Macaca fascicularis: one gene and its partners. The protein of the gene in region 1 binds, or shares a complex with, the protein of each later gene. Links are inferred from orthologs where the notes say so. Each region holds a gene or a part of one and is shown in the gene's direction. Other genes may lie near its edges. The genes, in order: SNRNP40, PRPF6, RBMX2, EFTUD2, LSM5, LSM7 and BCAS2.

The links.
Region 2: SNRNP40 (region 1) and PRPF6 share a complex: the UniProt entries of both Homo sapiens proteins name them as parts of the U4/U6-U5 tri-snRNP complex. The link is inferred for Macaca fascicularis from reciprocal best matches to the Homo sapiens genes SNRNP40 and PRPF6.
Region 3: SNRNP40 (region 1) and RBMX2 share a complex: the UniProt entries of both Homo sapiens proteins name them as parts of the minor spliceosome. The link is inferred for Macaca fascicularis from reciprocal best matches to the Homo sapiens genes SNRNP40 and RBMX2.
Region 4: SNRNP40 (region 1) and EFTUD2 share a complex: the UniProt entries of both Homo sapiens proteins name them as parts of the minor spliceosome. The link is inferred for Macaca fascicularis from reciprocal best matches to the Homo sapiens genes SNRNP40 and EFTUD2.
Region 5: SNRNP40 (region 1) and LSM5 share a complex: the UniProt entries of both Homo sapiens proteins name them as parts of the U4/U6-U5 tri-snRNP complex. The link is inferred for Macaca fascicularis from reciprocal best matches to the Homo sapiens genes SNRNP40 and LSM5.
Region 6: SNRNP40 (region 1) and LSM7 share a complex: the UniProt entries of both Homo sapiens proteins name them as parts of the U4/U6-U5 tri-snRNP complex. The link is inferred for Macaca fascicularis from reciprocal best matches to the Homo sapiens genes SNRNP40 and LSM7.
Region 7: SNRNP40 (region 1) and BCAS2 share a complex: the UniProt entries of both Homo sapiens proteins name them as parts of the postcatalytic spliceosome P complex. The link is inferred for Macaca fascicularis from reciprocal best matches to the Homo sapiens genes SNRNP40 and BCAS2.

What each region holds. Positions count from the first base shown.
Region 1 is NC_088375.1:203,728,177-203,731,676, forward strand, and holds part of SNRNP40 (U5 small nuclear ribonucleoprotein 40 kDa protein), read left to right. Parts: intron 1-2,456; coding exon 2,457-2,579; intron 2,580-3,500. UniProt on the Homo sapiens protein: Required for pre-mRNA splicing as component of the activated spliceosome. Component of the U5 small nuclear ribonucleoprotein (snRNP) complex and the U4/U6-U5 tri-snRNP complex, building blocks of the spliceosome.
Region 2 is NC_088384.1:120,167,027-120,170,526, forward strand, and holds part of PRPF6 (pre-mRNA-processing factor 6), read left to right. Parts: intron 1-494; coding exon 495-586; intron 587-1,624; coding exon 1,625-1,739; intron 1,740-3,500. UniProt on the Homo sapiens protein: Involved in pre-mRNA splicing as component of the U4/U6-U5 tri-snRNP complex, one of the building blocks of the spliceosome.
Region 3 is NC_088395.1:136,684,462-136,687,961, forward strand, and holds part of RBMX2 (RNA-binding motif protein, X-linked 2), read left to right. Parts: intron 1-522; coding exon 523-652; intron 653-2,643; coding exon 2,644-2,821; intron 2,822-3,500. UniProt on the Homo sapiens protein: Involved in pre-mRNA splicing as component of the activated spliceosome. As a component of the minor spliceosome, involved in the splicing of U12-type introns in pre-mRNAs.
Region 4 is NC_088390.1:65,948,244-65,951,743, reverse strand, and holds part of EFTUD2 (116 kDa U5 small nuclear ribonucleoprotein component), read left to right. Parts: intron 1-1,608; 5' UTR 1,609-1,612; coding exon 1,613-1,717; intron 1,718-3,500. UniProt on the Homo sapiens protein: Required for pre-mRNA splicing as component of the spliceosome, including pre-catalytic, catalytic and post-catalytic spliceosomal complexes. Component of the U5 snRNP and the U4/U6-U5 tri-snRNP complex, a building block of the spliceosome.
Region 5 is NC_088377.1:97,812,501-97,816,614, forward strand, and holds the start of LSM5 (U6 snRNA-associated Sm-like protein LSm5), read left to right. Parts: upstream 1-1,314; 5' UTR 1,315-1,483; coding exon 1,484-1,607; exon of another isoform or gene 1,608-1,616; intron 1,617-1,811; coding exon of another isoform or gene 1,812-1,904; exon of another isoform or gene 1,905-2,086; intron 2,087-2,110; exon of another isoform or gene 2,111-2,217; intron 2,218-4,114. Other genes in the region: late secretory pathway protein AVL9 homolog, read right to left, coding at 1,812-1,904. UniProt on the Homo sapiens protein: Plays a role in pre-mRNA splicing as component of the U4/U6-U5 tri-snRNP complex that is involved in spliceosome assembly, and as component of the precatalytic spliceosome (spliceosome B complex).
Region 6 is NC_088393.1:2,988,140-2,992,277, reverse strand, and holds the start of LSM7 (U6 snRNA-associated Sm-like protein LSm7), read left to right. Parts: upstream 1-1,338; 5' UTR 1,339-1,370; coding exon 1,371-1,376; intron 1,377-1,459; coding exon 1,460-1,550; intron 1,551-4,138. Other genes in the region: SPPL2B (signal peptide peptidase-like 2B), read right to left, coding at 1,153-1,218. UniProt on the Homo sapiens protein: Plays a role in pre-mRNA splicing as component of the U4/U6-U5 tri-snRNP complex that is involved in spliceosome assembly, and as component of the precatalytic spliceosome (spliceosome B complex).
Region 7 is NC_088375.1:119,799,384-119,801,887, forward strand, and holds part of BCAS2 (pre-mRNA-splicing factor SPF27), read left to right. Parts: intron 1-1,200; coding exon 1,201-1,251; intron 1,252-2,199; coding exon 2,200-2,280; intron 2,281-2,504. UniProt on the Homo sapiens protein: Required for pre-mRNA splicing as component of the activated spliceosome. Component of the PRP19-CDC5L complex that forms an integral part of the spliceosome and is required for activating pre-mRNA splicing.

The sequences.
Region 1 (3,500 bases):
GCTGGGATTACAGGTGTGAGCTGTCACACCTGGCCTGTTTAGTGAATTTTTGAACTAATTTTGTAAAGTTTGTATTCTTTGTCCTGTGTTACCACTGAATTCTTTTTTTTTGTTAGCTTAGTGGTCAGCTAGTGAATGACAGAAGTTTCCTAAATTACCTACAACAACAAGAACAAAAGCTCTCCCAGTCTTTGCAGATTGTCTTTTGGTATGTTGGAGCCTGCCTTCAACTCCTTGCTGTGCAGTTTACATCTCTCCTTAGCTTTCACTTCCTGCTTGTGCAGAGCCTGAAGGTCAACCAGAGAGCTTATGGCCTTCTCAGATCTTTTCTAAGTATGTGCCCAGCCCTGGACATGCAAGTGGTCTAGATTGCCAGGGATGGGCCAGGCATGGTGGCTCATGCCTGTAATCTTAGCACTTTGGGAGGGCGAGGCAGACAGATCACTTGAGGCCAGGAGTGTGAGACCAGCCTGGTCAACATGGCGAAACCCTGTCTCTACTAAAAATACAAAAATTAGCTGGGTATAGTGGCACGCGCCTATAATCCCACCTACTCGGGAGGCTGAGACAGGAGAATTGCTTGAGCCTGTGAGGTGGAGGTTGCAGTGAGCCGAGATCGCACCACTGCACTCCGGCCTGGGTGACAGAGGGAGACTCTGTAGGTAGGTAGGTAGGTAGGTAGATAGATAGATAGATAGGTAGGTAGGTAGGTAGGTAGGTAGGTAGGTAGGTAGGTAGGTAGATAGATAGATAGATAGATAGATAGATAGATAGATAGATAGATAGATAAGATAAGATAGATAGATAAGATAGATAGCCAGGAATATGTCAGTGCTTTTCAAAACTCTTACTCCCCAAATTGTCTCCTTCCCCAGCCCTTCCTCCCAAGGTTTTTGGTTTGTATTTTTGCCCCAACTGTTTTTCCTTGCCCCCAGGCACCAGAGGCTAATAATATCCTTTCCTTTAAATGTTTTCTTTTTTTTTTTTTTTTTTTTTTTTTTTTTTTGAGACGGAGTCTTGCTCTGTCACCCAGGCTGGAGTGCTGTGGCCGGATCTCAGCTCACTGCAAGCTCCGCCTCCCGGGTTCCCGCCATTCTCCTGCCTCAGCCTCCCGAGTAGCTGGGACTACAGGCGCCCGCCACCTCGCCCGGCTAGTTTTTTTTTTTTTTTTTTTTTTTTGTATTTTTTAGTAGAGATGGGGTTTCACCGTGTTAGTCAGGATGGTCTCGATCTCCTGACCTCGTGATCCGCCCGTCTCGGCCTCCCAAAGTGCTGGGATTACAGGCTTGAGCCACCGCGCCCGGCCTAAATGTTTTCAAGGAAAGTTCCAAGTTAGACAAAATAAATGTAAGTCCTGGCCGGGCGCGGTGGCTCACGCCTGTAATCCCAGCACTTTGGGAGGCCGAGACAGGCGGATCACGAGGTCTGGAGATCGAGACCATCTTGGCTAACACGGTGAAACCCCGTCTCTACTAAAAGTACAAAAAACCAGCCGGGCGAGGTGGCGGGTGCCTGTAGTCCCAGCTACTCGGGAGGCTGAGGCAGGAGAATGGCGTAAACCCAGGAGGCGGAGCTTGTAGTGAGCCGAGTTGGCGCCACTGCACTCCAGCCTGGGCGACAGAGCAAAGACTCCGTCTCAAAAAAATAAATAAATAAATAAATAAATGTAAGTCCTTTGAGCTTATCCTTCAGGGAGCCACCAGACAAGTAAAAATAAACAATTTTTATTGTTTATTCTTTGACAATAAGAAATAGGCCCCCCTTTGCTTCCTCAGTACTAGGAAACCATACTGGGAATATGGGTTATCTTCAAAGCTGTTGCTGAGCGGGAGACAGAGCCAGCACAAGTTAAAACACTACAAAACCCTTTTACTGGGACTCAGGGGTTTTTTTGTTTCCTTTTTCCTCATTAAGGGTTTGCCTGGTTACTATAAACTTTTGATTAGTTATGAGAGTTCCGACAGTTGATTCTGACAGGTTTTTGCTGGTTCATTTGTTGTTTTGTGGAAGGACAAGCTTTTGTCATTGTTTATTATACTATTTTCACTGACGTACCCGCTCTCTATTTTTTTAAATGTGGGTTGCAGCCCACTAATGAATTAGTATCTACAGTTTGAAAAAATTGTCTGATATCCTTGTTGTCCTAAAAAATATATGAACCAAGTAATTAGTGGAATTCCATTCTAAGAGTATGTTGATTTAACTCTGTTTATTCACTTTAACAAAGAAGTCTGAAAATATAACTGAAGTTTTGTTTCACCAGCCTTCAAATGTCTTAGCAAAATTGAGGACACTGCTTACCATGTGTGTTATTAGGATATCCAGGAGTTAGTGAAATGGGATCCCAATTATAGATGTGTTCATGTTCACAAAGTCCTTGTACTTAGGGATATTTGTACTGTGCAGTTACTTCTTAGAATGATATTAATGATAGACCCTGTTGTCCTTTGCTTCAGCTTTGGGACATCCGGAAGAAAGCAGCCATCCAGACATTTCAGAACACGTACCAGGTGTTAGCTGTGACCTTCAATGACACAAGTGATCAGATTATTTCTGGTGGAATAGACAATGATATCAAGGTATGTTTGATGTTTATGATATATTTCCATTTCACCCATCTGCACTTAGAAACAAATTTTTTCAAACTTCTGAAATTGTGGTAGCTTTGCACTTAATACCAACTGAAAGGAAAATAGTAATTTGGAACTTATTTTCTTTTTCTCCTGTCTTCATTGACTTCCTAAATTAAAGGTTGCACTGCAGATCTTATAAATGCTGTCAGGGACCAGGCACTTAATGTGAAGTGTGAAGTCTCTGTAGGGGGACTATGTAAAAAATAAAGAGTGCATTTCCTTTTAAAGACATTCAGAATCTTTTTTTAACCATCTTAGTTTAATGGGAGCAGTGAATCAGTTTGTGATTCTGTATCCTCATCTCTCACTGTGTTTTTCTTTTTGACACTATGGAAAGGGAGTTTTCTAAGTTTCTCTAAGAATGAGAGAAGGTAATGATATTAAAGAGGCAATAGACCATATGGCAGTACAGTGTAGCTCAAACTTTCAAGTAATTGACTTGAGTTCTAATCCCAGTTTCACCATTTTCTAGTTTTGTGACTTCAACACCTTCTTTAAGCCTCTTTTTCTTGTGTGAATGCTGAGGGGGTAGTGATAACAAAAACTACCACATGGCATCTACCACATACCATTGTAGCGATTAAATGAGCCTGATTAGAGCACTTAGCAGAATTCCTGGACATAACAAGTGCCAGGAAATGTGTTATTTTGGTCCTGCACGGCTTCTGTCTTCCTTTCCTATTGGCTTCCTTGGGGATCTTAACGACTTTGACCTTACCTTCTGCTTTATAGTGAGAATAGTAACTGTCAGATAAATACTCAACTTTCTGTGTTGTCCTTTCCTAGAAGTTGTACTGTATTTCCATCCCTCGTTGTTTCCTTTGCTGTTACTTTGGATGAAATATCCTTGCTTTTGGCCAGGTGCGG
Region 2 (3,500 bases), on another chromosome or scaffold:
GGGAGAGGGAGGGGTTGACGATGGCTGGGACGAGGGAAGGATGGACCCCGGAGAGCTGACTCCACAGAGGAGGTGGCGTGGAGGGCCCTGGAGGTGGGTAGGAGTCTGCGAGGTGCAGGCTCTGTTCATGGAGGTGCTGCATCCAGCTCAGGGTGACGGGGCTGGAGTACTGCACTCTGCAGACAGGCAGCTCCTGGGGGCCTTGTGCGGCCCTGGCTCTCCCAGGCTGGTCTTGCTTGTGCTGGATGCCTTCACCTGCATCTGGACAGCGTCAGTTTCTGAGGTGTTGCCCTTGGGGCGGTTGCCAGTGGGGCTGGCAGGGATGTGGGCGGCAGTGCCTTGCTTCTGTGGTGGGTGAGCTGTGCTGTGCAGGGAATGGAGTTCTTGCTGCTGTGACTGGGTGGGGAGCCTTTTCAGACAAGGCTTCCCAGAAGCTTCCAGAATATGCGCCATTGGTAGATGGCTGTGGGACCTCCTGGGGCCTGTCTCCTCAGGCTGGAGTCCGTGCGGCTGGAGTACCGTGCAGGGCTGAAGAACATCGCAAATACGCTCATGGCCAAGGCGCTGCAGGAGTGCCCTAACTCTGGTAAGGGGGTGCTTTCTGGCTTCCCAGACTCAACAGGGCTGGCGCTTCCTCAGGGAGTGGGGACTCAGGCTTCCGACAGACTTTATTAAAATGTTTTGTTTGTGTGAATGATTTCAGTCAAAAGTTTCAGCTATACTTGGCCATTAAGACATTTTAATGAAATTCCTGGCCTCAAAATGGGAGAATTTGATTTCATGTTCTGAAGTGTTATCATTTCTTTTTCTTTTAAAATTAAAAGAAATTGGCCAGGTGTGGTGGCTCACGCCTGTAATCTCAGCATTTTGGGAGGCTGAGGCGGGAGGATCGCTTGAGTCCAGGAGTCCGTCGCTTGAGACCAGCCTGGGCAACATAGTGAAACCCCGTCTCTATAAAAAATACAGAAAGTAGCCAGGCACAGTGGCACGTGCCTGTAATCCTAGCTACTTGGGAGACTGAGGCACGAGAATCACTTGAACCTGGGAAACAGAGGGTGCAGTGAGCCGAGATCCCACCACTGCCCTCCAGCCTGGACCACAGGAGTGAAACCCTGTCTCAAAAAACAAACAAATCCGTCAGGAGCGGTGGCTCACGCCTGTCATCCCAGCACTTTGGGAGGCCGAGGCGGGTGGATCACCTGAGGTCAGGAGTTTGAGACCAGCCTGGCCAACATGGTGAAACCCCGTCTCTACTACGATACACAAATGAGCTGGGCATGGTGGCGCACGCCTGTAATTCCAGCTACTTGGGAGACTGAGGCAGGAGAATTGCTTGAGCCTGGGAGTGGGAGGTTGCAGTGAGCCAAGATCGCGCCATTGCACTCCAGCCTGAACGACAGAGTGAAACTCTGCAGAGTGTCCTGTCTGTGCCCTTGGGGCTGCCATGGTTTTGGGTGGGCCAGAACACTCATCCTTCGTGGTTCTTGCACAAGTTCTGCAAGCAGTGTGTGGGAGGCCCCGTCACCGTCTGAGGACGTCCTGGGTTAGAATCTCTGTAGGCTGGGCACCTTTCCGGAACCAGAGGCTGGAGTGCAGATCTTTGTTCTTTGTTTCTGAATTGCAGGTATCCTGTGGTCTGAGGCCATCTTCCTCGAGGCGAGGCCCCAGAGGAGGACCAAGAGCGTGGATGCCCTGAAGAAGTGTGAGCATGACCCTCATGTGCTCCTGGCCGTGGCCAAGTGAGTGAGGCGTCCCCACAGGATTGCTGACCCTTGGGGTCCTCATGGGCTCTTTTTCCAGTCTGTCTGCCTCTCCCTGGTCATTGTAAAGATGCCCGGCGGCAGGGTGCGCTCCCCCGATCCTCGGCTGCTGTCACTCCTGCTGTGGTCCGGGGCAGGCGCCTCTCCCGGCAGAGACAAACCTGAGGGTGCTGCAGCATTGTGGGCTTCTGTCCCAAAGCCCTGGGGAGGGACAGCCAGTCTCTCTCTCTCTCTCTCTCTTTTTTCTGTTTCTCTCTCCTTCCCTCCCTCCCCAGGGATCCCCTGGGTGTGGTTCAGCCCTTCCTCTGTTCCGGCTTCTTCTAGGAGGCTGCTCTCTTCGTCTCTGCAGTTTTTTAGTTTACACCTACACAGGCCTGGGTTACAGGATAGATTTGCTGATGTTGGTTCACACAGAATTTTAAGTGGTAAGCGAAGCCCCTTTGGACAAGAGGCTTTATGTTGGGGCAAGAAATCACTTGCAGCTCTGTGGCCCGTAAATAATCCAGAGCTGGAGACTGGAGCCTAATTTGTGTGCCCAGGGGTGCCACGATGACTGCTGGAGGCTGTCTCAGAAGACGTGGTGTGAAGGGGAGGCAGAGATCCGTGAGTGACCTCACACCATGTGATTCACACTCGGGTGTGCTGGCCGCTGGGTCAGAGACTCGCTGGGGACATGACTCTGAAACCTCGCAGGCAGCTGCTTGGAGCCGTGGGGCAGAGCGTGCAGATTCTAGGCACATGTGGGCAAAGGCCTGCCACGTGCGGGGCACAGCAGGGAGCTCGGGGCCATCCCCAACCCACAGGGTCTCTGTTTCCTTCTAGAAAGAGGATGACAGTCTGAGAAGGAGCTGGGCCTGAGTGTGCATCAGGAGGCTGGGAAGTGACCATGTAGGGGTGAAGGGAGTTCTTAGAAGAACCCTGGACTCCTGAGGCTGCAGCTCAGGACATGGGCTCACCTGGCGGAGGTGGTGTGTCTGACCCCAGCGGCGAGGGGCCTCACCTTACGTGCCCGGCTTCCCCTTCACCTGCCCTGCCATGGGTCATGCAGAGACAACAGCCTTCCTAGTGCTGGCTCTTGATTCTCTCCATCCCTTCTCCCCAGCACTGGGTGGCAGTGGTGCTTGGTCTCCAGAGGTCTGGGTGCTGCCCCCGTAGGCCTGCCTGTAGGGGCACCTCCTCTCCCCTGCCCGCGGGCCCCTGACAGATGAGAGAGGCTCCCCACAGGGTGGCTTGTGTCTGCCTGGTGCTCCCTTGGTCCTCCCCTGTGCGTCCACCTCCCAGAGTGACTTCTGGGTGACACTCTGATAGTGCAGCCATAAAACCTTATAAAAGGCTTTGCTAAAGTAAATAAGTCACTCCTTGCTATTCCCAAGCCAGTGTTTTGTGTGCCTGCTATCTGGGTTTGTGCTCCTTAAATCACAGTTTATCTAACACTGGGCAATTAAGAATACCACAAGGCTTAAAAAACAATCAGGTTATCAGAGTGTGAAATTATTCCGTTTGGCAACTGAGACGAACCCAAACAGCTGCCTGGAGTGGAGGGTTCCTCGTGTCGTCTCTTGACTGCAGTGCCTCTGGCTCTAGGGGGAGGTGACCCCGAGGAGAGGGTGGGAAGGGTGGCAGCAACGCAGAGTCCCAGGCCTGCCAGCGTGCCCAGCAGCAGTGCCCGCCATCCTTTCTCCAGCAGTTTGGGGGGGTGCCATGCACACCCCCAACCTGGCCTCTGATAGTCCAGCATGG
Region 3 (3,500 bases), on another chromosome or scaffold:
TTGTAGTATTCAAAGATATCTATGTATCTAATAGTCCTACATTAATATTTGTTAGTATAATTATGTGTATTAATTCATCTGATTTTATTTTATTTCTGTCCACTTTATGCGTGATAAACTTCAAAGTGATGTGTTACATTCTCCCATAACTTTCTCTCTTAGTTTCTCTTTGCATTTCTAATAGCTTTTTTTAATTAAAATGTTTGATTTCTTAATTGACTCAGAGTTTTCCTGATGTATACCTTTATTGTGTATTTAGGCCTTTTTCAGTGTAAAATAATCTTAGTCTCATGTGATATTTTTATTTTGGCCTTGAATTAGTTTTTGCTCTGGATATTGCCACCCACTTTTAATTGGGTGTTCCTGTACTTGTCTGACTTTTTCTTTGCAACCTTTCTGTGTCATCCTGTTCTAGATGTATCTCTTGTACACACTATGTTATTTGAATTTTGTTTTATTACCTTATCTGCATGTTTTTGCCTTTTAAGTCAATAATGTCTTACTCTTTTATAAAATAAATAGATATGGCGAGATTGTTAACATTAATCTCGTGCGGGACAAGAAAACTGGGAAATCCAAAGGGTTCTGTTTCCTCTGCTATGAAGACCAGAGGAGCACAATTCTGGCCGTGGACAATTTTAATGGGATCAAGGTGAGTGTGCTTATTAAGCAGATTGGTTGGACTTTTTTCCCATGTATAGGTGTTTCTTTTTCTACCTGATTCCCACAGACACAAGGGCAGCACTTGTCAGCTTGGTTTGTTGCGGGGGCTGCAGAGATGTGGAGACGCTGGTCAAGAAGAGATTCCAGGAAATAATTCTGTTGGCTCGTGGCCCTGCAGTACTTGCTTCTTTTCCCCATCTGTAAACAAACCATCTCCCCAGGAGCATAGGCACCAGGCCTGCCTCTCATCCAGGCCTCTGTTTTTCACCTTTCTTTTTTTACTGTCTACTATCATTTCTGGTGCACTGGAGGATGAAGAGACTAGCAAACATTGCTCTTCCATATTGTCCTGTGTTGGGAGTTTTGGGCTTCAACATGGCCTCATAATCTAGGACATACCCATGTATGCCTGTCATGTATCTCCAGTGACCTAGCATATTGGGCTCTAGAAATTCTCTAGTTAAAATCCGATGACAGATTCTACAAAAGTAATTTCATCCTGAAATTTTCTCCCCCCAGATCCCTCTTATTTCCACTGTCGTAAGTGAGGCACTGAGTTCTTAGAAGGAGATAGGGCAAGTCAGGCGTATTGATGCTCCATGTGGTTGCTGCACTCATTTAGGAAAAAAGCTGCAGTTGAAATGAACAGTGTCACAGAGTTGGTGTGGGGAGGCTTGAGTTGGAGAGTTTGTCACTGATTCACGAGTATGGGATAGCTGGAGATTATAGAACAGAGTGGAACAAGGTTCTAGGCTTGATGTTTAAGGAAGCCAGCAGTCAGAGGGCGTCATTGTAAAAGGAAGGTTTTCCAAAGTGTTTCAAAATGGAGAAGAGGATACATAACAGAAGCCGCTCAGGCTTCAAGGTAAAAATAAAAATCTGCTCTTGTATTGGAACAATAAAAGCCAAACTTTAAATTTTGAATGGCTTTGCCTAGAGAGTAAGTCTGTATCTGCCTAAAAATAGAATGTTTTTATTTTAAGTGAGGTGTTAATTTTTTGGGGGGCGGGGGGAGGGGGACAGGGTCTCACTCTGTTGTCCTGGTTGGAGTGCAGTGGCGTGGCCTTGGATCACTGCAACCTCTGTCACCTGGGTTCCAGTGATTCTCCTGTCTCAGCCTCCTGAGTAGCTGGGATTATAGGTGTGCACCACCACACCCGGCAAATTTTTGCCATATTGGCCAGGCTGGTCTCGTACTCCTGACCTCAAGTGATCCACCCGTCTCGACCTCCCAGAGTGCTGGGATTACAGGTGTGAGCCACTGCGTCCGACCAGAGGGGTTAATTTTTTGTTGTTGTTCACCTGGAGAGTTGTGATTCGTAGTGCAAGAATCAGTGTGAGCCTATTGTTCCAGTATGGTGGGGCTAGAGCAAGGTGTGAGGGCTGAAGAAAAAAGCAAGTGCCTTTTTCTCGATTCCTTTCTCCCTCCAAACTGTTGGTCTGACTTTGCCTCCTAATTACTGGGTCGAGAAAGCAGTTGTAGCATTAAGCCAGATTTCAAGAATTCCTTCTAGTTGCCAGACCTTCCTAGGGTATGTTTCACTGTAAACTTAGGTTACAGATCAAGGGTAATTCATTATGCATCTAAATCTCAGTCTTCCCTGATGCTTGTGCTCTGAGGTAGTATTTCCTAGTCTTTTTCATTTTATGGCACATACAGAACATGAAGATATTTGCATGGTGCCCTGGAGTAAAGTGATGAGGCTGCTGGTACAATTGCCCCAGGCCTCACCTGGCTGCACTGAGAGGCTGCACTATATATTTTATAATAATAAAATTATATTAACTAAATATTAGTATAAATTAATATTTAGGTGTACATGCTATGACACACCAGTTGGGCAGGTCTGCTTTAGTGACAGAATTTAGCAAGAAGGTAAAGGATATAGTTCAAATCATGGTTCTCTGTAGCTTGTGTTCAAATAGTTGGCAGTTTGGTATGAGGGCCGTCTTCACTGAAGCGTTGCCTGTCTTGCTTAGATCAAAGGAAGAACTATCCGAGTGGATCATGTGTCTAACTATCGGGCTCCTAAGGACTCGGAAGAAATGGATGATGTGACCAGACAGCTCCAGGAGAAGGGCTGTGGGGCTCGTACCCCCTCACCAAGTTTGTCTGAGAGCTCTGAAGATGAAAAACCAACAAAAAAGCACAAAAAAGGTAAAGCATTAAGACCTAAGAGAAGATTCTGGATGGCCTTAATGTCTGCTCTTCCTTGCATTCATTGATAGTTGAGAATCAACTCAAGTGTGAAAGGGGAAGGTATGGGGAAGCATAGTTTAACTGGGAAAGTGGGGAGTATCAGTGGAAGGCTGGTGCTATGGGCAGAATTGTCTCTCTCCCCAAGTTAATATGGTGAAATCCTAACCCCCAGTGCCTCAGAATGCCACTGCATTTGGAGATAAGGTCTTTGAAGAGGTAACTCAGGATGGGAATTACCTTGTACAGCAACTTGACATATCAAGGGTGACAGACATCCAAGTTGGCTTCTTGAGGCACTCTCCTTGGAGGCCTAGACAGTGGCCCCTTCATGTTGCTGCCAAGGTTGTTCTCTTTATGCACATTCCTCACCTCCTAGCATGTGAATTTTTTTTTTTTTTTGAGACAGAGTCTTGCTCTGTCGCCCAGACTGGAGTGTAGTGGCGCGATCTCAGCTCACTGCAAGCTCCACCTCCCGGGATCACGCCATTCTCCTGCCTCAGCCTCCTGAGCAGCTGGGACTAGAGGCACCCGCCACCACACCTGGCTAATTTTTTTGTATTTTTTTTTAGTAGAGATGGGGTTTCACCGTGTTAGCCAGGATGGTCTCGATCTCCTGACCTCGTGATCCACCCGTCTC
Region 4 (3,500 bases), on another chromosome or scaffold:
AAACATCACCTTAATGAAGTGATCAAAGTTAACGTTACCACCAATGAGGCAAATTGAAATCATGTATCACCTGATAGGAAATGCTTTGAGAACCACAGTTCTCACATGTTCTCACAGCATCACTTCTATGATATTCCTGCCTAAAACACATAACCTGAATATTATCATAAGGTAACATCAGACAACCTCAAATCAAGGGACATCCTTAAGGATGTCACGACAGTCCTTGGAAGGAAAGACTGAAGATTGTAAATCCAAAGAGACCAAAGACATGACAACCAAATGCAAACATGATCCTGGATTGGATCCTTGGGCGTGTAAGATATCATTGGAACAATCTGTGAAACGTATTGGAACAATCTGTGAAACCTGAATGGGATCTGTAAATTAGGTGGTAGTAATGTGTGAATATTAATTTTCTGATTTTGATGGTTGTGTTGTGGTTATGTAGAAGAATGTTCCTGTTTGTAGGAATCACACAAGGTGAGGGAGAGGTTGGCAAACTTTTTCTGTTAAGGACTGGATAGTATTTTAGGCTTTGTGAGCCATATGGTTTCAGTCCCAACTACTCAACTCTGCTATTACAGTGTAAAGGCAACTGTAGATGATGTAAATGAATATGCATGGCTGTTTTCCAGTGAACCTTTTTTTTTTTTTTTTTTTTTTTGAGATGGAGTCTCGTTTTGTCTCCCAGGCTGGAGTGCAGTGGTGCCACCTCAGCTCACTGCAACGTCCACCCCCTGGGTTCAAGGGATTCTCCTACATCAGCCTCCTGAGTAGCTGGGATTACAGGCATATGCCACCATACCTAGCTAATTTTTGTATTTTTAGTAGAGACAGGGTTTTGCCATGTTGACCAGGCTGGTCTCGAACTCCTGACCTCAGGTGATCTGCCCGCCTTGGCCTCCCAAAGTGCTGGGATTACAGGTGTGAGCCACTGCGCCAGGCCTCCCAATGAAATTTTTTAAGTAGACACAGACATTTGAATTCCTTATAATTAATTTTCATGTATTGTGAAATATTTTTCTTTTGACAATTTAAAAATGTTGAAAAGCATTCTTAGCTAGAGGGCCATGCAGAAACAGCTGGAGAGGCCAGATTTGGCCACAGGCCAGAGTTTGCACACCCTTACACTAAAGTATTAGGAGGTGATGAGCCACTGTGTCAACAGCTCACTTTCAAATAATTTAGGAAAAAGTAAGTTGTTTGTACTATTCTTGCCACTTTTTGACATTGAGTTATTTTAAAATTAAATTTGGTATTAAAGAAGTGGAGGAAGGGGACCTCCTCTTTTGGCTTTGGAGCACCCCGCCCCATCTCTGTAGTGGGGAGCTTCTTCCTTCTGTCTTCTTTCCTTCTTGCCTATTAAACTCTGCTTGAAACAAACAAAAAAAAAAAAGTGGAGGGAAGACTACATAAATAGAGACAAGTAGGGCAGAGACTTGGGTAAAGTACTGGTCTTTGGGAGGAGCCTTCAGTAGATTGATGTCACTGGGAGGAGGCATGTTCTGAAAGGGGTATGGCCAACTATAAGACTAGGTAGGTGGGGCCACCACATGGAGGCCATGATTACTTTGCCAGAATCTAACTCCTTTCCTTGAATTTTAGCATCATGGACACCGACTTATATGATGAGTTTGGGAATTATATTGGACCAGAGCTTGATTCTGATGAAGATGACGATGAATTGGGTAGAGAGACCAAAGATCTTGATGAGGTAAAGCAAATATATTGCTCTTTTCATCTCGCTCTTACTTATTTTTATTTAAGACAAGGTCTCACTCTGTTGCCAGGCTTGAGTGCAGTGGCGCAATCTCAGCTCACTGCAACCTCCACCTCCTGGGCTTAAGTGATTCTCCCATCTTGGCCTCCCAAATAACTGGGACTACAGGCATGCATCACCATGCCCAGCTAATTTTTTTTATTTTTCATAGAGACAAAATGTTGCCCAGGCTGGTCTCGAACTCCTGAGCTCAAGAATCCACCCGCCTTGGCCTCCCAAAGTGCTGGGATTACAGGCATGAGCCACCATGCCCAGCCCCCTCTTTTCTTTTCTCTCTCTCTTTTTTTTTTTTTGAGACAGCCTCACCCTGTTGCCCAGGCAGGAGCACAGTGGCACCATCTTGGCTCACTGCAGCCTCTGCCTCCCAGATCCAAGCGATTCTCATGCCTCCGCCTCCTAAGTAGCTGGGATTACAGGTGTGTGCCACCATGCCTGGCTAATGTTTTTTGTATTTTTAGTAGAGACGGGGTTTCACTATGTTGTCCAGGCTGGTCTTGAACTCCTGACTTCAAGCAATCCACATGCCTTGGCCTCCCAAAGTGTTGGGATTACAGGTGTGAGCCACCGCGCCTGGACAGATTTATTTTTTTTTAATTATATTGAGGTATATAACAGAGATGCATAGATTTTGGTAATGGAGACAGAAAAGAAAGATGTCCATTCTAAGACTGGGCTCATTGGCTCATGTCTGTAATCCCAGCACTTTGGGAGGCTGAGGTGGGCGGATGACCTGAGGTCAAGAGTTTGAGACCAGTCTGGCCAACATGATGAAACCCAATCTCTATTAAAAATACAAAAATTGGCCGGGTGCGGTGGCTCAAGCCTGTAATCCCAGCACTTTGGGAGGCCGAGACGGGTGGATCACGAGGTCAAGAGATCGAGACCATCCTGGCTAACACGGTGAAACCCCGTCTCTACTAAAAAATACAAAAAACCAGCCGAGCGAGGTGGCGGGCGCCTGTAGTCCCAGCTACTCGGGAGGCTGAGGCAGGAGAATGGCGTGAACCCAGGAGGCGGAGCTTGCAGTGAGCTGAGATCCGGCCACTGCAGTCCAGCCTGGGAGACAGAGCGAGACTCCGTCTCAAAAAAAAAAAAAAAAAAAAAAACACACAAAAATTAGCTGGGCATGGTGGCATACACCTGTAGCCCCAGCTACTCCGGAGCCTAAGGCAGGAGAATCTCTTGAACCCAGGAGGTAGAGATTGCAGTGAAACTCCATCTCAAAAAAATTAAAAAAATTAAAAATTTTAAAAAACAATGATAAAAGAATACTGGTTTATACTGGTTTAGTTTTATTTTAGACTTGTTGAGCTACTGTAGACTCGGTAGAGGTAATTACAGGCAGTCAGAAATGATTATATAAAATCCTGCAGTTAGATTCATAATATATTCAGCAGTATGGGGCAGTAGAAAACTGGCTTGATAGCTATTTTGGAGCCACCACCAGTAAGATATATGTGGCTGCCAAAAGAGCTAATGTAATCTTAGGCCACTTTAGTAGAAGTAGAGTGTAAGATGGTAGGAGGTAGCCAGTCTTACCACTGGAGGGTTTTGTGTTCTTAAGGAAGAGGTTGGCATGCTGTAATTTGTGTGAAGGAAAACAAGCACCCAGCAGTCCCTCTACCCACCTGCCTACACCTGTACTCATATACGATGCCTTCCCTTCCATTCTTATGAATTATTTGTTCATGCTTCTGTCTACTAGAAACTAATCCCA
Region 5 (4,114 bases), on another chromosome or scaffold:
AGTTAAAACCACGTGAAGTCAGAGTCACAACTCAATGAGCCACGCACCTCTAATCCTTTACACCTGGAAGTAAAATAGTAACGTGGAGAATTAGGTAGCTGATTAATCTATCCTGGGGCAAATCTTACATACTTTAATTAAAGCCTCTAAAAACACCTGATGTACAGGTTATAAAGAACAGATTCTAGACCAGTCATTATAAGACTTATGCACGTAATACACAATTTTCAAAACTTTTTTTTTTCGCTCTTGTTGCCCAGGCTGGAGTGCAAGGCTCACAGCAACCTCTGCCTCCCGGGTTCAAGCGATTCTCGTGTCTCAGCCTCCCAAGTAGCTGGGATTACAGGCATGTGCCACCACGTGCAACTAATTTTGTATTTTCAGTAGAGGCGGGGCTTTCACCATGTTGTCCAGGCTGGTCTCGAACTCCTGACCTCAGGTGATCCACTCGCCTCGGCCTCCCAAAGTGCTGGGATTACAGAATTGAGCCACCGCACCCGGCGCCAAAATTTTCTTTTGAGACAGGGTCTTGCTCTCTCATCCAGGCAGGAGTGCAGTGGTGGGATCAAGGGCCACTGTAGCCTCAGCCTCCTGGGCTCAAGAGATCTTCCCAACTTAGCCTCCCGACTAGCTGGGACTACAAGTGCGCTATCACATGCAGCTAATTTTTAAAATTTTTTGTGGAGACAGTTTCCCTTTGTTACCCAGGCTGGTCTCAAACTCCTGAGCTCAAGTGATCCTTTCATATCAGTCTCTAAAAGTGCTGCCATTACAGGTGTGAGGATATATTTCAAAATTACGCACAGTTTTTTCACTCCCATCACTTTTTCTGTTATTCCCTAGAGAACTTAATTTTTGCCAATACGTCTTCTAAAATGTTACATTTCCTGCGGAATGCAAGAAACTAAACGCTTCATGAGCTAGTGGTGGCCATTACTATTTTTAATACTTCAAAAAAGCATTTCAATTTACTGTTCACTAGCACATTATGACATCATTCCCTTCCAGTGTTTGCTTGCTCATTAGATAATCCTGTTTCTATTTTGTTCTCTTGCCTTCAATATACAGATCGCAAATATTCCATTTCAGATGATGGATTAAAGATTCAATGAGGCTGCTGAAAAACACCTTTATATTTGAACGGTTTGGTCGGTAATACGCTTTCTCTTATTGCGGTTGATCTGGAGAGATTAATCTCTCACCAAAAGGTAAAATCCGGAGAAGATGAAATAGCAAAACTAAGGACCAATGGGAAGGGGGAGGCAGGGTTAATCGACAACCGTACTTAACACGACAGATTCCAAGGCTTCCATCAGATAAACAAAGGAAGCTGATTTTTCTACAGAGGCTGCAGGTGCGCAAGCTACCTGAAGTATTAGTATGCAAGCCCACTGAGCCTATTACCTTGAAAGCAGAGTCCAAGCACTGAATTTTTCTAGACTCCCATTATAGGTGGACACCCAGAAAGCCAGTGGAGACAATAATGGACGGGGAAGAGAGTGGGGCCGGTCTTCGATTCCTTCCTCCCACTCCACCAAAGCAGAAGCTAAAATCCTACAACCTACACATACCAATCTGCGCCTCCGCCGCTCATAACCATTTTTCAGGTGCAAAAGGAAGGGGTTGTGGGGGCTGGGCTTCATGTGGGGCGGGTGGGAGGAGTTGCAAAGGAGTCAGGTTGAGAGGCGAAGGGTCGCGGGCGCGGTGGGGAGGACTGCACGACGCGAGCTGGGAACACAGAAGGAAGGCAGGGGGCGCCGGGAGGCGCGAACGCCCGAACGGCCGGGGGCGGGGGCGGGCCCTTTCCTCACCTGGCAGCCCTTCTTATGGTGAAAGCCAACAACCACGATGTGCAGTACGGGCCCCCGGGGGGCGCCATCCCCGCCTCTCCTGGCCTTCTCCATGGGCGGCCGCCGCGGGCCCACACTACGACTTCGACTGCCAAGGGCAGCGGGTCTGACGACCCCACCGTGTGCGGAGAGCCGCGGACTTCGGGTGTCAGCGAGCGCAGCACATGAGGGCCGCACCGGGAGATCTGTGGAGGGAGAGCAGCTCCCGCCCCCAGGGCCGCGGCCGCCCTTCTCTCATCCGCTTCCGCAGCTTCCGGGCTGTCACCTGACGCGGCGGCAGCTGCCGGCGAGGCGGGGCGGGGCAAGGCCGGGAGGGCCCTGACGGCTGGGGGTTCTGAGAGACCGAGGTGGAGCCTGGGGGAGTTAGGTGGGGCTAGGAAAAAAGCGATCGACTGGACGGGGGCGGGGGGTCGGGGGTTCGGGGGGTCGGGGGGGGGACCGGAGGGGGCCTTGACGTGGAGCAGCGGGGTGGGGCTTACGTGACCCGGGCGGCTGGGCCTGCGGAGCCTGTAGTGTCCGCGGGACCTGGAGGTGCGGCGTGGCACACCTGCTTTTTCCTCCCTGGATTCAATCTCAAAGCACTTCCTTCTCTTTTGCCTTCTCATTTTCCTCCTTAAAGTTTTCCCCCTTCCCTCTTCTTTTCTGTTTTCCTTGCTTTTTCACATCTTTTCGATTCACTCTCCGAGTGTCCGATTCCTTCACCTCCTTGCCTTTGCCTCTGTGGCCTCCGTCCTTATTCTCAAATATGTAATAACGTGGAGCATACTGGTGAGGTTGCGTATCTGTGTATTCAGCCTTTAAATTACTTGCTTACCCGAGAATTCTTGTTTGTTTGTTTCTAGAGCTTTTTTCCCCTTCATTTAAATATTATGTGTAGCAATCTGAGACGCATTTAAAACCTGAAACCGAATATCCTTGACAATAAAGGAAGTTTACTTGGATACCTGTAAAATGGTTATTCTAGTCCTGCGATTTTAAAAGAGTATTATTTTCATTCCATCTCTTTTTGGGTTTAGTACTCTGAGCCTATTACCTTGAAAGCAGAGTCCAAGCCTCTCAACCTGACTCCTTTGCAACTCCTCCCACCTGCCCCACATGAAGCCCAGCCCCCACAACCCCTTCCTTCTGCGCCTGAAAAATGGTTATGAGCAGCGGAGGAGCAGGTTGATATGTGTAGGTTGTAGGTTTTTAGCTTCTGCTTTGGTGGAGTGGGAGGAAGGAAGGTCAATACAAAATATATGGGTTCTGTTGTCACCAGGGTTTTTTAATTACTGACTGTACTGCAATTTTTTTTTTTTAAGCAGTGAATCATGTCAATTTAAAGTGCATTCTAGAAACACTAGCAGATTTAACAAGTCTTATCTACGACAGTTTTCAAATAACCTAAAGGATAGGAGTCTGCTTCAAGTAGAATTAGAGATTACTACAGTAACTATGATATTTTGCACTTCTGGTCTTGAAAAATAAGGAGCTCTGTTCTAATCTAAGCATAGCGGAGAAAAACAGTAGGCTTCCTAAATCAAATTTAGTTTCTGTGATTCAGTAGAACTGTTTTAATGCTAATACTGTAGACATTTTTCAAGATGTTGCTATACATTTCTGTATTACAAAATTATTGGCATTGGCTCAGAAAACTGTAAAACTATATTGCTCCCTGTATGCAGAATATATTAACTGTTTTCTTAATATATTAACTGTTTTGAGATGTCAACTGTGTGATGTGTTAACTATTAACATTTTCTTGATATAAACTGTCTTGGTATTTTCCACAATTAACATGGCTAAAATTACTGTCTAATGAACACCTTTTAAAGATATCTATAAGGGCCGGGCGTGGTGGCTCACGCCTGTAATCACAGCACTTTGGGAGACCAAGGCAGGTGGATCACCTGAGGTCAGGAGTTCTAGACCAGCCTGGCCAACATGGTAAAACTCCATCTCTACTAAAAAATACAAAAATTAGCCGGGCGTGGTGGCAGGCACCTGTAATCCCAGCTACTCAGAGGGCTGAGACAGGAGAATTGCTTGAACCTGGGAAGCGGAGGTTGCAGTGAGCCAAGATTGCGCCATTGCACTCCAGCCTGGGGGACAAGAGCGAGACTTCCTCTCAAAAAAAAAAAAAAAAAAAAAAAGATGTATGCAAAAACAGGGCCAGGCACGGTGGCTCATGCCTGTAATCCCAGTACTTTGGGAGGCCGAGGCGGGCAGATCACTTGAGGCCAAAAGTTGGAGACCAGCCTGGGCAACATGGTTGAAACCCCATC
Region 6 (4,138 bases), on another chromosome or scaffold:
CCCTCCAGCCTTGCAGAGACCACGGGCATTTCAGGGTAAGAGAAAAGACTAGACAACGAAGCTCCTGCAATGAGCTGCAGGCTTCCCTGGCGCCAGGTCACAACTGGACGGCACGTTCATCCAGATGCGACATGGACTGACATACTTTGAAAGGGTCACTCCTGCTGTGTCGAGGATGGACTAGGGATGTGGGGGACAAAGGCAGCCACAGCAGGGGGATGGCGGTGGGGCTGGAAGAGTGGAGACTAAGAAGGAGCCCAGTGGCAGCGACGCCTTAAGAGAACTCTGAGAGAGGAGTGAAGGTTAAGGGCCGCATTTGTGAGGCTGCTCCGGGTTCCATTCCCTGAGCCACCAAACTCAGGTAAGAGGTAAGATTTGGAATTAAGAAAATAAAAGATGCAGTTACGACAGTGCCATCTCGTAGACTGTCCCCGCTAGAACCTGACACTCTACATCAAAGGATACACAATGAATATAAGGAAGGCGTGCTGTCCCTAGGCGCTGGTCACCCTGGGTAGCATCTCCAGAATCCACACCATAGTCGACCCCCCTTCTCCAGACGAGCAACTGACGCTCAAAGCAGGGAATTCCCTCGTCCAAGGTCACGGAGTAAAAGATGGAGCGGGAATACGACCCCAGTGCAGGGCTGGGCTCTTGGCCGCTCCAGGATGCTGGCCAGTCACTGGGGGACACGCGGGACGCCTCTGGGTTCCCCCACCGCACCCCCTAGGGTGAGGTTAGCTTAGCACCGGGCCATTCCGCCTAAAGGGAAACTGAGGCTCGGAGCGGGGTGGGCGGCCGCCTGCCCAAGGCCACAGAGCGGGAGAGAGGCGTCCCCCGCGGCGGCTGGAGACCCCGAAACGGACAAGCAGAACAGGGAGATGGAGGGGGCACAAACTTCAGGCCCGGTGGGAAGTGAGGGGCGCTGCAGCGGCGGAGGGCCTCCGAGGCGGGGAAGGGAGAGAAGCCGGGGACAGCCCCGCAAGGTCACGGCCGGGCCCCGGCACCGCCGGCCGACAACGAGGGGACCGCGGATCCCCGAGGCTGGACCCCCAAGACGGGCCAAGAGGGGTCGTTCCTGCGCGTAGCCTCGGGGCCGAGAGGCCGAAGGGCCGCAGCCTGCGGTGCCGTCGGGACCGGTGCCGCGCTCACCTGGGCCGCGAGGAGCAGAAAGGCCGCCACAAGCCGCGCCAGCGCAGCCGCCGCCACCGCCGCCATCTCGGCCGGTGCCCGCCGCAACCGTCGGCAGATGTTTCCCAGCAACGCCCCGAGACCCCGGGCCACGCATGCGCCGCGCATGCGCGTGGGGGGGAGGGGAGAGGTCACAGGGCACGGGGCGGTGTCTGCGAAGAGCCTCACGGCGCGACAAGATGGCGGTGAGCGCGCGGCAGAATCCGGAGCCGGGGGGCGTGGGGCTCGGGCCGCGCTCCAGGCCTCATGCGCTCTGCTTTCCCCGCAGGATAAGGAGAAGAAGAAAAAGGAGAGCATCTTGGACTTGTCCAAGTACATCGACAAGACGATCCGGGTGAAGTTTCAGGGAGGACGCGAAGGTGAGGCGGCTCCCGCCGTTGGCACCCCCCCTTTAAAATTTTAAAATAAAGTCAGCAACAGAGGTGATGAGGATGCATGCAGAGGCGCCTCTTTTATTTATTTTTATTTATGTATTTATTTTGAGACGCAGTCTCGCTCCGTCGCCCAGTCTGGAGTGCAAGTGGTGCGATCTCAGCTCACTGCAACCTCCGCCTCCCGGGTTCAAGCGATTCTCCTGCCTCAGCCTCCTGCGTGGCTGGGGCTACAGGCGCCACCACTCCTGGCTAATTTTTGTATTTCTAGTAGAGACGGGGTTTCACCATGTTGGCCAGGCTGGTCTCAAGCTTCTGACCTCAAGTGATTCGCCCGTCTCGGCCTCCCAAAGTGCTGGGATGACAGGCGTGAGCCGCCGCAGAGGCGCCTCTTTACACGCTTGACGCCGACTACCTTGTGCAGGCTTCCGAATTACGCCGGGAGGTAGGAACTGGTATGGCCATGTTGCAGGCGGGGAAACTGGGGCAAGGAGCGGGAAACAAACGTAATCCAAAGTCACAGTGGCGCAGCCGGTATTGGGATTTCCGGCTTGGCCTCCAGAGCAGTCCTGTGTGTCCAAGGACTGCCCCAGATCCCCACAGATCTCCCGGCTTCTCCTCTTCCTCCCTCTAAGTCAAGGTCTTTCCCGCACAGCAGTGTGGACACATTTGGGGCCGGATTCTCTGGAGTGGGGCCGTCCTGGGGCACTGCAGGGTGCTGAGCAGCATCCCTGGCCTCCACCAAGTTGTGACAACCTAAATAGCCTCAGACATTGCTTAGTGTTCTCTGGGGATAGGATCGCCCCCCGACCCCCAAGCTGTGATTGGGAATCACAGCTACTAAGGTCAGTCTCCACTCAGCGGCCAGAGGCACCTAATGAAAAAGAAATGGAGGCTTCTTGCTCCCTGCTGAAAACCTCTGAGGCTCCCGGTTGTTTTGGAGTAAAATCCGAATCCATACTTCTGATTATGACTGCAAAGGGCGGCAGAAGCACAAGTTCCACAGGTGCTTGCTCTGGGAAGCCCTCCCTGACCCTGGCGTCAGGCCCCCCATCGTTCTAGGATCCTGGTAGCACCTGTCACCGTTTGCGGTTTCGTGCATGTTAACCTGATGCTTGCCTCTGCCTGCAACTCTTCCATGGAATCTAGTGAAGACAGGGCGAGCTCTCAGAGGGCAGGAAGCATTCGCATGGGCAGTGGGCTGGTGATGCATGCTGCAGCTCTTGGCGGGACGCAGGGACTCACGCCTGTAACCCCAGCACTTTGGGAGGCTGAGGCAGGCGGATCATATGATCAGGAGATCGAGACCAGCCTGACCAACATGGGGTTTCGTGAAACCCCATCTCTACGAAAAATACAAAAAAATTAGCTGGGCGTGGTGGTGCACACCTGTAATCCCAACAACTCAGGAGGCTGAGGCAGGAGAATCTCTTGAACCCAGGAGGCAGAGGTTGCAGTGAGCTGAGATCGCGCCACTGCACTCCAGTCTGGGAGACAGAGCGAGACTCCGTCTAAAAATAAATAAATCACACACACGCACACACACAGCAGAGAAAGGGTTTGCTCCCTGAAGGACTCACCTGATATGGTCAGGCTCACCCAGGGTGTTTCCCTCTAGATTGGCTCAAAGTCAGCTGGTTCAGGGGCTTAAACAGCTGCATAACCTAAGTGCAGGAGTGACGTCATGTCCCCTCAGAGTCACAGGCCCGAGCCCACACCCCGGGGAGGGGAACCTTGGTTAGAGACCTACCTACCTCAGTGCTCACATCTGTCCCTGTGAGGAGGGCTGGCTCACTGGTCAGGCTGGTGCCAAGGACCTGAACCGTTGCGTCTGACCCCATCTCATAGGTGACAGGTTTCATTTTGCAGGGGAGGGACTTGAGCGCAGAGAGAGGGAGCCGTGGAGGTAGGAGCTAAAGCCTGTATGCAGGTGGGCAGACCTTCTCTGTAGAAGGCCAGACAGCAAATATCTTCAGCTTTGCAGCCCAGATGGTCTCTTGTCACAACCAGTGAGCTATGCCCGCAGAGCAGGAGAGCCGCCCTGGTCAGTGCCTGAGCGGGCGAGTGTGCTGGTGGGCCAGTGAAACTTTGGCATACAGAGATGAGCGGTGGGCCACTTTCGCCTCTGGTCGTAGTTCGCAGCGCAGAACGGCCATGGACAGGCTCACAGCCCTGCCTTGGGAGAAGATAGGCGGGCAGAATAATGCCTGGGGTGCCTGCTTCCTGAGATTGGTGGGGGGCATGCAGAGGGCAGCACCCTAAGGGGTGTGGGTTGGTGTCTGGAGGAAGCACCTGAAAGATGACAGGGGTAAGAAGGAGGGTAGGGAGCGGGTGGCTGAGGGACGCCCCTCAGTGAGCGCAGAGGCGGAACCGCTCCTGGGCCTGGGCTGGAGGAGCCTGGGGGGAGAGGACGGGAGTCCCGGACAGGGAGGGTGGGCTGGCCTCTGCTGAGGACACACAGCTCCCCCTTCATCCTTCTCAGTGTCACCAGACACTGCGGAGCAGGATCAGATGGCAGAGGTCACCACCGGGTCAGAGAGCCCTAACCCAAGGTGCCAAGTTGTGACCTAAGGCGG
Region 7 (2,504 bases), about 84 Mb from region 1:
TGTATTATTGAACTTTTCTCCTGTGCTAGTTACAGCTGACCTGGACTGGTATCTGTTTTTTATTTTGCTGCGAATAGGTTACATGCAAATATGGACTGATATCTCAAATCTACAACAGTTTTCTTTTTCTCACCTCTCTCTAGTTAGCAGTGGACAGGAGGAGAGAATGACAGGATAAATGTATATGAAGAAATACAGAGATAAAAGGGGGTTGAGAAATAATAAGTGGATATAATCAGATATATTCCATCTTCTCTGTGACAAGAAGTCATGACAGTTTAAGAAGTGACAAAAGACTGTGTGTGATGTCTCACGCATGTAATTCCAACACTTTGAAGGCCAAGGTAGGGAGACTGCTTGAGCCCAGGAGTTCAAGACCAGCCCAGACAACACGGTGAAACCCTGTCTCTACAAAAAAATAACAAAAATTAGCCGGGCATGGTGGCTTATGCCTGTAATCCGAACTACTTTGAAGGCCTGAAGTGGGAGGATCGATTGAGCCCAGGAGGTTGAGGCTGCCATGATTATGCAGCTACACTCCAGCTTGGGCAACAGTAGAGCAAGACTCTGTCCAAAAAAAAAAAAGCCAGGTGCAGTGGCTCACGCCTGTAATCCCAGCACTTTGGGAGACCGAGGTGGATGGATTGCTTGTGGTCAGGAGTTCAAGACCAGCCTGGCCAACGTAGTGAAACCCCATCTCTGCTAAAAAAAAAAAAAAAAAAATACAAAAATTAGCAAGGCATGGCAGTGCACGCCTGTAATCCCAGCTACTTGGGACGCTGAGGCAGGAGAATTGCTTGAACCAGGAGGCAGAGGCTGCAGTGAGCTGAGATCACACTACTTCACTCCAGCCTGGGCAACAGAATGAGACTGTCTCATAAGAAAAGCAACCTAAGTACTCAAAGTATCAGGCAGGGCATGGTAATTCCAGCAGTTTGGGAAGCCAAGGTGGGAGGATTGCGGCTCCTCGGGAGGCTGAGGCAGGAGGATTACTTGATCTTGGGAGGTGAAGGCTGCAGTGAGCCATGATCACACCACTGCATTCCAGCATGGGTGATAGTACTTGATTATGGAGTGTCCAACATAGTTCTTGGCACAGAGCTCCAGAAATACGATTTTTAGCAAAAAAACTTGAAAAAGTTCACTTTTAATTGGTACTATTTTAATGTATTTAAATCTGATTTTCCTCTTTTCCTTCAGAAATCTAGTTCATATGATTGAACACGCACAGAAAGAACTTCAGAAATTAAGGTAAATTGTTTTTTCCTATTACAGAATGAACTTTAAGTGAACCTTTAATGAATAGAAAATAGGAGGAAAAAGAAAGCAATGAGACTGCAGCCAGGTGAAAGTAAACAATTGATCCACTCTCTTTGTTCAACATCTGGCACAGGGTTTGCCCTACCTAAGTAGACGAGTAGTAGGCCTGAGGTCTGAAAACATCTCTGCCACTTGTAGCTTGCAAGTCTGCAAACATGGAAAGACACTTTTAGAGGGGGAGAAAGTTGGAGAATAACACATATAATCTGATTTTTAAGACCGATTTCGGCCGGGCGCGGTGGCTCAAGCCTGTAATCCCAGCACTTTGGGAGGCCGAGACGGGTGGAACACGAGGTCAGGAGATCGAGACCATCCTGGCTAACACGGTGAAACCCCGTCTCTACTAAAAAATACAAAAAACTAGCCGGGCGAGATGACGAGCGCCTGTAGTCCCAGCTACTCGGGAGGCTGAGGCAGGAGAACGGCGTAAACCCGGGAGGCGGAGCTTGCAGTGAGCCGAGATCGCGCCACTGCACTCCAGCCTGGGTGACAGAGCCAGACTCCGTCTCAAAAAAAAAAAAAAAAAAAAAAAAAGACCGATTTCTACACACACATATAGGAAAGCCTGGAAGGACACCCAGCAAAAACTCAACAGGAGTTATCAGGAAAAAGGAGACATGCATGGGAAGAGGGACTTGAGACTTGTAATCTGTGTGTGCTCGTGTGTGTGTGTGTGTGTGTGTGTGATTTCTCACAATGAGCATGTTTTATGAAACTTGTAATCAAAAAATAATTAGAAGAACGGTAGTTTCTACAGTTAGCCTATAACTGTACATGATATTGTTCCCATGGGATTAAGATATTCTCTTGTGTTACAGAGTTTTCTGTTGATTTTTGGTCTTACATTAAAATGTCATTAGGTTGTATAATTTTTTACAGAAAACATATTCAAGATTTAAACTGGCAGAGAAAGAACATGCAGCTCACAGCTGGATCTAAATTGAGAGAAATGGAGTCAAAGTGAGTATCTATAATTCCATCATCTTTTAAATTGTTTAGCCCAGTCTAAGGTCGATTCAATAATATGATTCAAATAGCATTCATGTGGGATGCCATAGGTGTCAAAGAAAATGCTGTTTTCTGAATTCACCCTTCACTGTCTCTGCCTTTCTATAAGGTGTTAAAGAGAACTATAAACGAGAATTGAACCATTGGTGAAGGATCCTTTGCTAAATTGAACCATT